2 linked regions of the Coturnix japonica genome follow. The protein of the gene in region 1 interacts with the protein of each later gene in a biochemical or structural test. Links are inferred from orthologs where the notes say so. Each region holds a gene or a part of one and is shown on either strand. Other genes may lie near its edges.

What was found. The genes of interacting proteins can lie anywhere in the genome.
Region 2: the proteins of CEBPA (region 1) and TRIB1 form a complex in vitro, tested with the Homo sapiens proteins (2 studies listed by BioGRID and IntAct, with this or other methods). The link is inferred for Coturnix japonica from reciprocal best matches to the Homo sapiens genes CEBPA and TRIB1.

What each region holds. Positions count from the first base shown.
Region 1 is NC_029526.1:8,910,679-8,916,217, forward strand, and holds CEBPA (CCAAT/enhancer-binding protein alpha), read right to left. Parts: upstream 3,803-5,539; 5' UTR 3,385-3,802; coding exon 2,410-3,384; 3' UTR 1,275-2,409; downstream 1-1,274. UniProt on the Homo sapiens protein: Transcription factor that coordinates proliferation arrest and the differentiation of myeloid progenitors, adipocytes, hepatocytes, and cells of the lung and the placenta.
Region 2 is NC_029517.1:125,153,223-125,158,550, reverse strand, and holds the start of TRIB1 (tribbles homolog 1), read right to left. Parts: upstream 3,356-5,328; 5' UTR 3,045-3,355; coding exon 2,688-3,044; intron 2,428-2,687; coding exon 2,135-2,427; intron 621-2,134; coding exon 152-620; 3' UTR 1-151. UniProt on the Homo sapiens protein: Adapter protein involved in protein degradation by interacting with COP1 ubiquitin ligase. The COP1-binding motif is masked by autoinhibitory interactions with the protein kinase domain.

The DNA of each region.
Region 1 (5,539 bases):
GGGTAGGAAGGTCTGCACGGCCACGGTGGGACACGTTTAGCGGCTGCAGCCCTGCCGGGCCAGCACCGCCGGCACTGTTGCGGTGTTAAGGCGGGCACCTCCATTGCCTTCTGCTGCCTGTAACGGACCTTTCGCGATACTCACAGCGCAGCACGTGGCCGGCAGCAGCCCGGCTCTGCGGGGCTGGGGGGGAAAGAAACCAAACGTCCGTATTTCTGTCCGGCAGCCGCAAAGTTCAGCTCTTCCCTCGCAACGAGCGATGCGTCTTAATGTGAATCTAACCGAAAAGTAAAACTCCTTCATCCCGCCGCACGCCCTACCGCCACGATGCGCGGAGTAGCCCGGCCTTACCTTCGCTCAGCGCAGTCGGACCGTGCCCGCAGCGCATCCCGCCGAGCAGAGCACCGAGCGCTCGGTACCGCCGGGACGGCTCGGCCCGCACGGCCCCGCAACGCAGCGGGATCGCAGCGGACTCCCGGCCTCCTCCCTCCGGCCTCGCACCTGCCGTACCGCGTGCTCCTCGCCGCGTCCCCGCGGAGCGCTGCTCCGCCCCGCCCACGTGCGGCGCCGATAAGCGCTGGGCGGTGGGATGGCTCCTTGCACGACCCCGCCGGCCGTCGCTTCACCTCGGAGCCGTCCTTCCGCCCCGGGTTCCCCCCGTTCCTGGTGCGGGCGGCGCGGCCCCTTGGCCCGACCCGGCCGCGCTCCCTCCGCCGGGCGGGGCCCTGTTGCCCTATCGCAGCTGCCGCTCGAGCCGCCTCCCCTCGTGCTGCGGCCCCGAACCCGACCCCGGGCGCGCCGAGGCGGGGCGGGGTCGTCCTTTCGGGCCGGCGGTCGAGCTGCCCGGTGCCTCGTGGTAGCCGTTACCCCGGGGGGGAAGGAGAGGGGGGAGGGTCGTGCCGCGTCGAGCCCCGGAGCGGCGTCCGTGTGCCCGGCCGGGGCGAAACTCCCCGGGGGAGGGGCGGGGTCCGGCACCGCGAGCGGCCGCGCGGCGTCTCCGCGTGTCCCGACGCCGTCGCGTCCCACCCGGTCGCTCCCTCCGCCCCGGCCCCGCAGCGCCCGGCGGGATCGCACCTGCACGCGGCACAGACACAGACACAGACACAGACACAGACACAGACACAGACACAGACACAGACACAGACACACCGCCGCCTCCCGAAGGCGTCGCACGAACGGGGCAAACGGGAGCGATCGGCGGCCCGGGCCGCGGTGCCGAAAGGGGCTCAGAGCCGGCCGGCCCCGGGACGAGCACTGGAACACGCAGCGGGCGGTGATGGCAGAGTATATGCTGTTTATTATGAATGTAACCAGGACTATCCGACAAAACTGTATATGCGGTCCCCTCCCGAATTATAAAAAACAAAAACAGAACACCGATGTGTGCATATACGTCCACGTTCCCACCGCACACGCACGCCGCACACGCGCCCCGCACGCACCCGCGCTGCCCTCCCGCTGCCCCCGGCCGGACGGGGCCGCGGCCGCCCGCAGCAGCGCAGCTCGCACTCACCCACCCACCCACACAAATAATAAAATAACGTTGCAGCACGAGGGCATAGTCTCTGTCACCAGATAAGAAAGTGGTGTGATGGCAAAGATCTAAGTAACGCGATAAAAATAGTGTAGCTAGTATACACGGAAAGGCTTTCACATTACATGAGGCACAGCTTGGGCAGACACAGACGCGGAGAGGAGCTGAATGTCCTGGGAGAAAGCAAAATACGCTGAGAGTTCGTAGTAAATACCCGCATCGATAGGTATTTATTCACTTGTGCTTCGCCATGTCGTGACATACAGTACGAATCGCCGCCGCTCTCCCCGTCGGCGCAGGGAGCTCCGCCGGGCCGCCCTCGGCCCTACTGTCCGGCTGCCGGGACGGGCTGTCCGCGAACCCGGCTGGCCGTGGGTCCCGATGTCCGTCGCTCGGCTCGTCCCGTCCCGCTGACGGTCCCGGTTCCGCTGCCGTTCCGCATCCGCCGCCGTCCCCGTTCCGGCCCCGCAGCCCGCACGTCCCCGCGCTCCTTCCTCGGCGGGCTGAGGGCACGGACCTCCTGCAGGCAGCTTTAAGGCACATCTGGGCTGCTCTATGTGCTTTATTACTGTTACTATTATTATTGTCATTTACCCTGTGTAGACACGTGGGCTTTTTTGTTTAATCTCTTCCTTCCCCTCTCCTTTCTCCTTACAAAACCCACCACGTTTTTCAGCTTATTCGTGTGTCAACCCTAAGGCACCGACCTGGTAATACTACAGCTGCCTGGCTTCTTTTATTGGTCATTATTGTCGGGGAGAAAAAAAAAAGAAACAAAAAAAAAAAAAAAAAAGGGAAAACAAACTAGCCCACCCCCCACAATCTGAGCCCGCTCCGGCACCGCTCGGACCGCCCGGAGCAGCGGGAGGGCCCGGCTAAGCGCAGCTGCCCATGGCCTTCACCAGCGAGCTCTCGGGCAGCTGCCTGAAGATGCCCCGCAGAGTCTCCAGCTCCCGGCTGAGCTGCTCCACCCGCTTCCGCAGCCGCTCGTTGTCGGTGGTGAGCTCCAGCACCTTCTGCTGCGTCTCCAGGTTGCGCTGCTTGGCCTTGTCCCGGCTCTTGCGCACCGCGATGTTGTTGCGCTCCCGGCGCACTCGGTACTCGTTGCTGTTCTTGTCCACTGTCTTTTTGGATTTGCCGCGGTGGTCGGCGGGCATCATCTTGAGGGCGCCGGGGGCGGCGGGCAACGCGCCCGGGGGGTGCGGATGGTGCGGGTGGTGCGGGCTGGGCACGGGCGTGGGGGGCGGCGTGGGGTGCCCGGGCTGCAGGTGCACGGTGGTCTGAGCGCAGTGGGCGATCTGGTACTGCAGGTGGGACGGGTGCTGCTGCGGGTGCGGGTAGAGGGCCGCCAGGGCCGCCGCCTTCACCTCCTCCTCCTCGCGGGGCTCCTGCTTGATGACCAGCGGCCGCAGACCCGGCGCGGCGATGCGCTCGTACAGCGGGTCGAGCTTGCCGTCCATGTAGCCGGCCGCGCAGCCGAACAGCGGCTGCTGCTGGTGCTGCGGGTGGTGCCCCGGAGCCGAGGCGGCCGCGCCGGCCCCGTGCATGCTGTGGAAATCGAAATCCCCGGCCAGGACGGCCTTGTGCTTCTCCTGCTGCTTGCTGTGCTGGAAGAGGTCGGCCAGGAACTCGTCGTTGAAGGCGGCGGGGTCGATGTAGGCGCTGATGTCGATGGAGTGCTCGTTCTCGCAGATGTCGCCGAGCTCCGCGCCGCCCGCAGCAGGTGCCGCCGCCGAGGGAGCCTCTCTGTAGCCGTAGGCGCTGCCGGGCAGGGGAGTCTGGAGCTGGTGGTGCTGGCCGCTGCTCATCGGGGGCCGGGAATCGACCTCGTAGAAGTTGGCTTGCTCCATGAAGCACCTACAGCCTGCCGGGCATGGTGAAGGGCTCCGGCAATCCAGGGTTCGGACGGGGCGGCGGCGGCTCTGCCAAGCCCGCAGCACCCCGCGCTCCCCCGGCTCGGCTCGAAGCGGCTCCGCTCGGCGCGCCCGGAGCCCGTCCCCCGCCCCAGCCCGCCCGAGCCCCGCTCGCCGCCTGCCTGCCTGTCCCGTTCCTAGTGGGTTGCCTCGGTCCTGCGTGCCGTATATATACACCCCCGCAGCAGGGCCGGGGATCGCCCTCTAGTGTCCTGCTGGGAACCTCTGACCACCGCGCCCCGGGTCTTAGCGCCCCGGCCCGGCCGTCCGCCCTCCCTCGGGAGCTCCGCTCTCACCGAGCCCTGCCCGGTCCCTGTGCTCCGCCCGCCCCCCCGCTCTGGGGGCTCGGAGCCCGCAGCGCCCGATCCCGTTCCACCGGGGAGCAGCCCCGCAGCTCACCATTACGCGCGAACCATTACGCCGGGCTGGATGGCGCACGGTGCCCGCCCCCGGGGCCCAAGGCGCCGTCCCAGCGGAGTTACCGGAGCTCGGCCCGGTTCGACGCGCTGGGTTCACCAGCTGAGCCCCGTGGGGACCCGCGGAGCGCGGCCCCGAGCGGCGCTGGGACCCGACCGGGAGCGCGCCCTGCGGGGCGGGGCTGCGGGGCTCGGCGCTGCGGGACGGGGCCGTGGGCAGAGCCGGGCCGGGACGCGCTGCCGCTGTCCCACGGCTCCCACCGTGCGCGGGCGGTGGGGGATGAACGCACGGGGCTGCATCTCCGTCCCGTCCCGTCCCGCGGCGCGAATCGGGCAGGTAAATTTAATCACGGATTTCCCCAAATGCAAACACCGCAATCTCGGGCTGTGTCGGGCGTGGACCGGCTCCCGGCGTTTACCCGAGATAAACCCGAGCGTGCCGCTCGGAAGGCGAAACGCCGGGGCTCAGCTCCGAGTCCGGCCCGAGCAGCTGCTGGGAGACACGCGGCCCGAGGGACCCGCGCTCCCTGCACGGGACGGATTCGGGGCACGGAGCTGCCGCCTCCCCGTCCAGCCGGACCTGCCGACCCCAACTGCCGGCCCTTAGATCCGCTGGGCCGGGCCGCTCGGAAAGCAGCACAGTGGAAGGAGGGACGCACCGAGGGCAGTGAAGCAGGGGAGAGCGAGGGAGATCGGCAGAGAAAACTCCAGTATGGCTATGGCTACAGAAAGAATTGCCACATTTCTTAGTCCTGGAGGGCTGAATGAACCAGAAGCTTGTGATATCAGACTGCTTGCTCAGAGTTCCTTGCAATTCACAGTGACTGGCAAAGCCTTAGGAACAAAACCACCACGAACCAAGAGCCACCTTTGGGGTCACACACGTGAGCCACAGACGTGAGGTGCAGCCAGCACAGCCTGCTGTGAGTGTCTCGTGGGAAACATCCATATAGAATACAGAACACACAGAATCTATGATTTATGAACATACTTTTCACCTTTCAATGTCAACAGAAAAGATAAATCCTAACTGCTTTTTATATATGGTATCTTCTGAAATTATGATATACTTTGGTTTCAGCACATAACAGTGGGTACAAAGGGTATGCACTGCCTGATCAAGCAAAGTGCCCATATGGAAGAGCTCCAAAGTTCTGATAGAGAATAAAATCCCCTGACCTGTGACAGAAATCTGGGATGCTTCAATGTGAGCAGAAATCACAGCATCACAGAACTGCAGGGGTCAGGAAGGTCCTGAAGAGATCACAGAGCCCAACCCATACAACCAACTACACAGGTTCCATACAGGTCACATAGGTAGGCGTCCATATGGGTCTTGAATATCTCCAAAGAAGCCCCACAACCTCTGCCACGTCTGGCTGTGTGGATCCTGCAGGCTCTGCTCCATTAAACCCATTTGCAGAAGAGGGGCAGATGCTGACCCAGACTCGCTAACACCGTAGGACCCAGCTGGCCCAAGAGCCAGTGCTGGCCGTGCCCGTGCTTCCTACAGCCACATCGTGCCCTAAAGGCAGTGGGCAGGAACCGGCCATGCACAGCGACAGCAAAAGGTTCTGCACTGCGGGCAGCAGCGGGAGCACAGAACTCAGTTTGTCACTGAACAACAATACTGAGGCCTCTGCAGTCTCACATTTTAGAATCGTTCTGAAAATTAA
Region 2 (5,328 bases), on another chromosome or scaffold:
TCTGCAGGTCGACGTTCATCTGAAACAAGGTCACTTTTCTGACCATACTGGCACTTTAAGATGCTTTGAGTCTGTAATGTGGAAAAATAAAATAACCAAACCCTACGGAGATGCCAGAGGTGAGAATGGCGAGGTTCTTGAGATATCAGGGTTAGCAGAAGAAGGAACTGATATCGTCATTGTCTCCATGGTATTCTGGAACAATCTGATCAGAAGTCCCTGTCTCCTGGTCTGTATATCCTGGCTCCAGGACCGCCTCGAACCAGGGATGGAGCAGGATCTCCGGGGCTGTAAGTCTCTCGGAGGGCTCCCGCCGCAGGAGGCTGCGGATGAGGCATCGGGCTTTGGGGGAGACGTGGTCAGGAATACAGAACTGTCCGCGGCGGATTTTGGAAAACAGGGTGCTAGGGTCCGAGTCATGGAAGGGATAGCGGCCCACGAGCAGCGTGTACAGCATCACTCCCAAACTCCACACGTCGGCTGACTTCCCCGAGTACGTCCCCGTTGTGTTGAGGATCTCGGGGCTGACGTAGGCAGGACAGCCGTGTTTATCCGACAGCGCGTCGTCCTCGCCCTTGATGATGTGCGTGTCCTCCAGGCTCTCCAGCCTCAGCTGCGTCCTGTGGGGAGCAACAAGGAGAAGCCATGGGTTAGAGACATGTGGCAGCAAGACCAACTGCTCTGCACAGCGACCACCGCTCCCTTCCATGCATTAGCAAAGGAGAGGCGACAACTTCCTAATCTGCACCAGGGATGCTGATCCCAGCCCCAAGTGCAGCTACATGCACGCTCATTTGCTGGGCCGACAGCAAATGCTGGGCTCTCGAGGAACGCCAGCGAGGCTCCTGCTGCCATCCCAGCATTCATTTTCACAACACAAAGCCTGGCTGTTCTGCACTCTCGGCGCTCACCAGCTTGCTCAATCCCTATTTTCTCCCTTTTGCCTTTCCAGGTGGTGCCCTGCTCCCGGTAGTGGCAAACCGGGAGCTTCCCACCAGCAGCCACGGCTCACGTGCCACAGGGATGTGCTAACTGCAGCCTGTCCTCGGCGTGACCTCCCGCTGCAATGCAAAATACCCATCGGTTCTGTAAACGGAAAATGTGACTCAATGCGAACCGTGGGCCCAGGATTGGCCGCGGGAGCACTGAAACTGCACCTGTGCTGGTGAGCCCCAGCGCCCGCCTGCCATTGCTTAACCCTCTTCTTGCCAAACGCAATGCACATGACACTCGCCTGTGCAACGCCAATTTCCAAACGAGCCGGGCTGTGTGCAATGTAACATTTCAACAAATGTTTCATCTCACTAGGGGCGGGAAAAGCTGCAATAGTTTCCTTCAAAGGAATTACTTTCTTTGCATGTCAACATACGGCTGTTTCTGTTTAAGAGGTGCAGTTCTGGTTCGTCGTCTTATCACCTTCACAAACGATATCCCACAGAAGCAGTTAAAAAAGAAAACCAAACACAGCGGTTCCTTCCGTTTCGTCGCATTAAGCACGACCCCATTGCAGCCTGTGCCCATGTTTTGAGCTTCCTACAGCACAGCAGCCACTCAGGGTCAGTTCCCGGGGCTGACACCGCACTCCCAGCCCTGCCACGTGCAGCGCAGTGCACAGAGCAGCCAGCTCTCCAGGGAGACACTGAATGCTTCGCCTCGGTCTAGATTTAGAAGCTGATCCCAGCAGCGTGCCAGCAGATGGGGGAAGCTGGAACCACCTTGCCATAACTCAGGCTTTAGGTTAAGTTCTACCAGTTTTCCCCTCTGCAGGACATTTAACCATGGACCGCCCTCTGTGCCGTGCATGCCCATATCCATGGAGCAGCAGAAGCACTGCCACCAACGCGGAGATGCTGAGCAGCACCGTGCTGCCCTCATTCCCTCCACATCCCATCCCTTCATCCATTTGACCCCAAAACTCATCCATCATCACCAAGACCCAACTGACTCCCTGTGACTGCCTCACTGAACTTCTGCTGGAAGAGGGGAGGCTGATGGAGAGCTCCTCAGCCAAGACCCAACCACAGCCAGCAGGCGCCCCACTGCACACACGGGGCACAGGTCCACCCTGTTCCTGGGATGCTCTTTGCCCTTCTGAACCAGGCTTCCCCCCACCTGCCCGGTGACAGCCGCTCACCTCTCCTCGTTGGAGAAGACAAACTTCCTGAGCTTGAGGTCTCCGAGCACGATGGCCGACTGGTGGCAGTGAGCGACGGCCGCCACGATCTGTCGGAAGAGCCGGGCGGCCTCCTCCTCCCTCAGCCTCTTACAGCTCCGCACGTAGGAGTGCATGTCCCCAAAGTCCTTCTCAAAGAACACGTAGGCCTTGGTGTCCCCGAGGATCACCTCCACCACGCCGGTGATGTTGCAGTGCGAGGGCAGCTGGACGTAGGGCCGGATCTTGTCCTGGTAGTGTTTGAGAGGGAACACCTGCACAAAGGAAACGAGCACAACGTTCGTTCTCGAGGGCGTTGGGAGCGGAATCGCGTCTAGAGACTCTTTGCAAACAATGCCGGGAATGGAGGAGCGCCAGCGCGCTCGGGAGCGGCACCGGGAGCCTCCCCGCGGCTCCGCCGTTCGTTCCGCACGGACGACGGGGAGCACAAGCCAAACCGACGGAAAGCACGAACCGCCCCGAAGCCTTTCGTCCCCTCTCAGCCCCCTCCGAGCCCGCACCGCCCGGCGCTCACCTTGCAGCGGAGCTCCCGGCCGGAGCTGACGCTGAGCGCTCGGGACACCTGCTCGCGCTCGGCCAGCGGCAGCAGCAGGTACGAGGCGATGAGGCTGGGCCCCGCCGTGCCCACATTCCCCGCCGCTCCTCCGCCGGCTGCGGGCGAGACGGGCGCGCAGGGCGAGCCGGGGGCGCTCAGGCAGTCCGGGGTTCCGCCGGGACACTCGGCCAGGCGCGGGCACTTGGCGGCCGGAGCCTCCTCGGCGGGGCCGTCGTGCAGCGGCTGGAGCCGCTTGGCCGGGGCGCTGCGGCAGCGGGCTGCCGGCAGGAGGAGCGCGGCGGCGCGGCGGGGCGGCGGCGGAGCGGGGCGGCTCATGGGGGGCGCGGAGCGGAGCGGGGAGAGGAAGAAGAGGAGGAAGAGGTGATGGTGGAGGGCGAGGTGAAGGAGAAGAAGAAGCGGGGCCGGGGGCTAAGGGCGGGCGGAGCGCGGCTGGCGCATCCCCTCGCTGTCCCCGCCGCAGCCCCGGGCCGTGTCCACCATCTGCTGCCGACTCCGCGCTAAAGTAGTTGGAGGCTTTAAAAAAAAAAAAAAGCAGTTTTCTCCTCCTCCTCCCGGCCCTGACGCACGGGGAAGTGGGAGGAGGGAGCTCGGCCCGGCCCCGCTCCGCTCCGCCCCGCTGTCCGCCCGCCCCGCCGTGCCCCCGAGCTGCACCGTGCGATGCTCCCGGCCGCGCCCGTCGCTCCGGGACGACCCCGACCCCGACCCCGGTTGCGGAGTTCCGGCGGCCCCGCGCTGCTCCCACGAGCGAAAGCGAAAAGCGGAGCCCGGCTCCGTCGCCACGAGGCTCCTCGGGGCGATCAGCCCCCGTGAAACCGCGTCCCCGGCAGCCGGCGAGGGGCAGCTGTAGGGCGGGGAGCCGGAAAGCAAGAGAGAAACGGGCAGCAAAGCGAACAAGGAGCGGGGAGCCGCAGTGTTAGCGCACGGCCGGCTCTTCAGTTCACATCGGTGCCCGTTCCCAGGCGCTCGGCGCTGAGGTTTCCCCGTGCCGCTCCCGCAGGCAGCGCCCGGCGCCGCCGTCAGCGCTCAACGTGTATTTTAAGAAACGCGTGAAACCGTGCTGCTGTGTGAGTCACGGCATAGCAGAGCCATTAATGCGTTTAAACACAAAATGCATCTGCCATAAAGGGATATCCCAGGGGCTGCATTTTCCTTTCTTTGCCTTTATATATATATATATATATTTTTTTTCCTTTACCAAACAATTCGAAGAACGCCTGCAGATTTTTTCGGAGCGATTCACTGCAGCTCGGAACGCGCTGTTGTATTTTGTTCCCCTTATAGGCAAAGCACGCACGGAGCCATCAGCACTTCTGCTCCGTGTTTCCTCTCCTGGAAGGCTGCGTCCCATCAGTGACGTCCCATCAGTGATGAGTCCCATCAGTGATGTGTCCCATCAGTGACGTCCCATTAGTGATCAGTCCCATCAGTGATCAGTCCCATCTGCAGAAACGCTCATTGAGTGTCATTGTACATCAGTGGGTGCCGTTTTTTCTGCATGGAGTTGCTCAGTGACACACCTCTGCTTCACACGCACTTCCATGTCCGATTCCATTCAGCCCCTCTGCTGCCATCTGTCCCATGGCAACAACACAGAACTGAATACTGGTGGGAAGGCTCAACCACTACTGCCCCATCACCAGCATCCACCTCTGACACTGTGGGCCGTTATAAAATAGGAGGCACGACCTTCAGAGCAGCCCTCCTAAAATACACAATATTATTAATCTGTAAATAATAAAACATTTTAATATTTAATATTCCCATATCATCCATTTTGATGACATGAATAAGGTGTGATTGTGAAGCGAGGGATGTTTCTGGTAAGAGGGATTAGGAAACTCTGGCAAAGAGACATGATCAGATCTTCAGGTTCCATATTTGACTGCAGCTCCCTCATTCCACGTATGCCTCCATCTTTGTAGCACGGGACAAGGGGCTTGGTGGTCATTTCTGACCTCAGTGGTTCCGTGATGTTCATTTAAAGCCATTCGCCCTTGTCCTGTCACTACCTAAGTGTTCCCTAAGGGGACTTTGGGCATTGCCGTTCCATTCCCGTGTTACTTAAGGAATTCTTCTCCCATGGCATTCCAGCATCTGTCTTAGGTTTGGCAGTGCCCGCACTGCGAGCTCAGCTGCTCGCCCTGTGATGCGCAGTTATCTGTCTCCACTGCTCCACTTCTCTGACCCTTTATCTCTGTAACTGGAGCAGCCAGCAGCAATGGGAATTGTGTAACCATCACCCCACTTCCCCAGTGCCTGGGACAGGTCTGGTTTTCTGTCAGTGTATCCCATGGGATACGCAGAGGGACCCTGTTGGATTGGGCCATTTATAAATAAACCGGCTGCTTGCTATGGGAAGAAATTAATAAGTCATTGTGTTAGTTATCGGAAGATGCATGACACACCAGTACTTGAGTGAATATTAAACTATCAGGCAAATATTAAACTATCAGAAAAATAAATACCATCGCATTAAGAGCTATTTCAAGACCTCTGATGACATTTACACAACTGCTGGACTTAATGCCAGCAGTGTAAACCCAGCAGCCAACACATGGTCTGCTGCAGAGCTGCTGTACAGAATCCCCCGGCTCAGAAA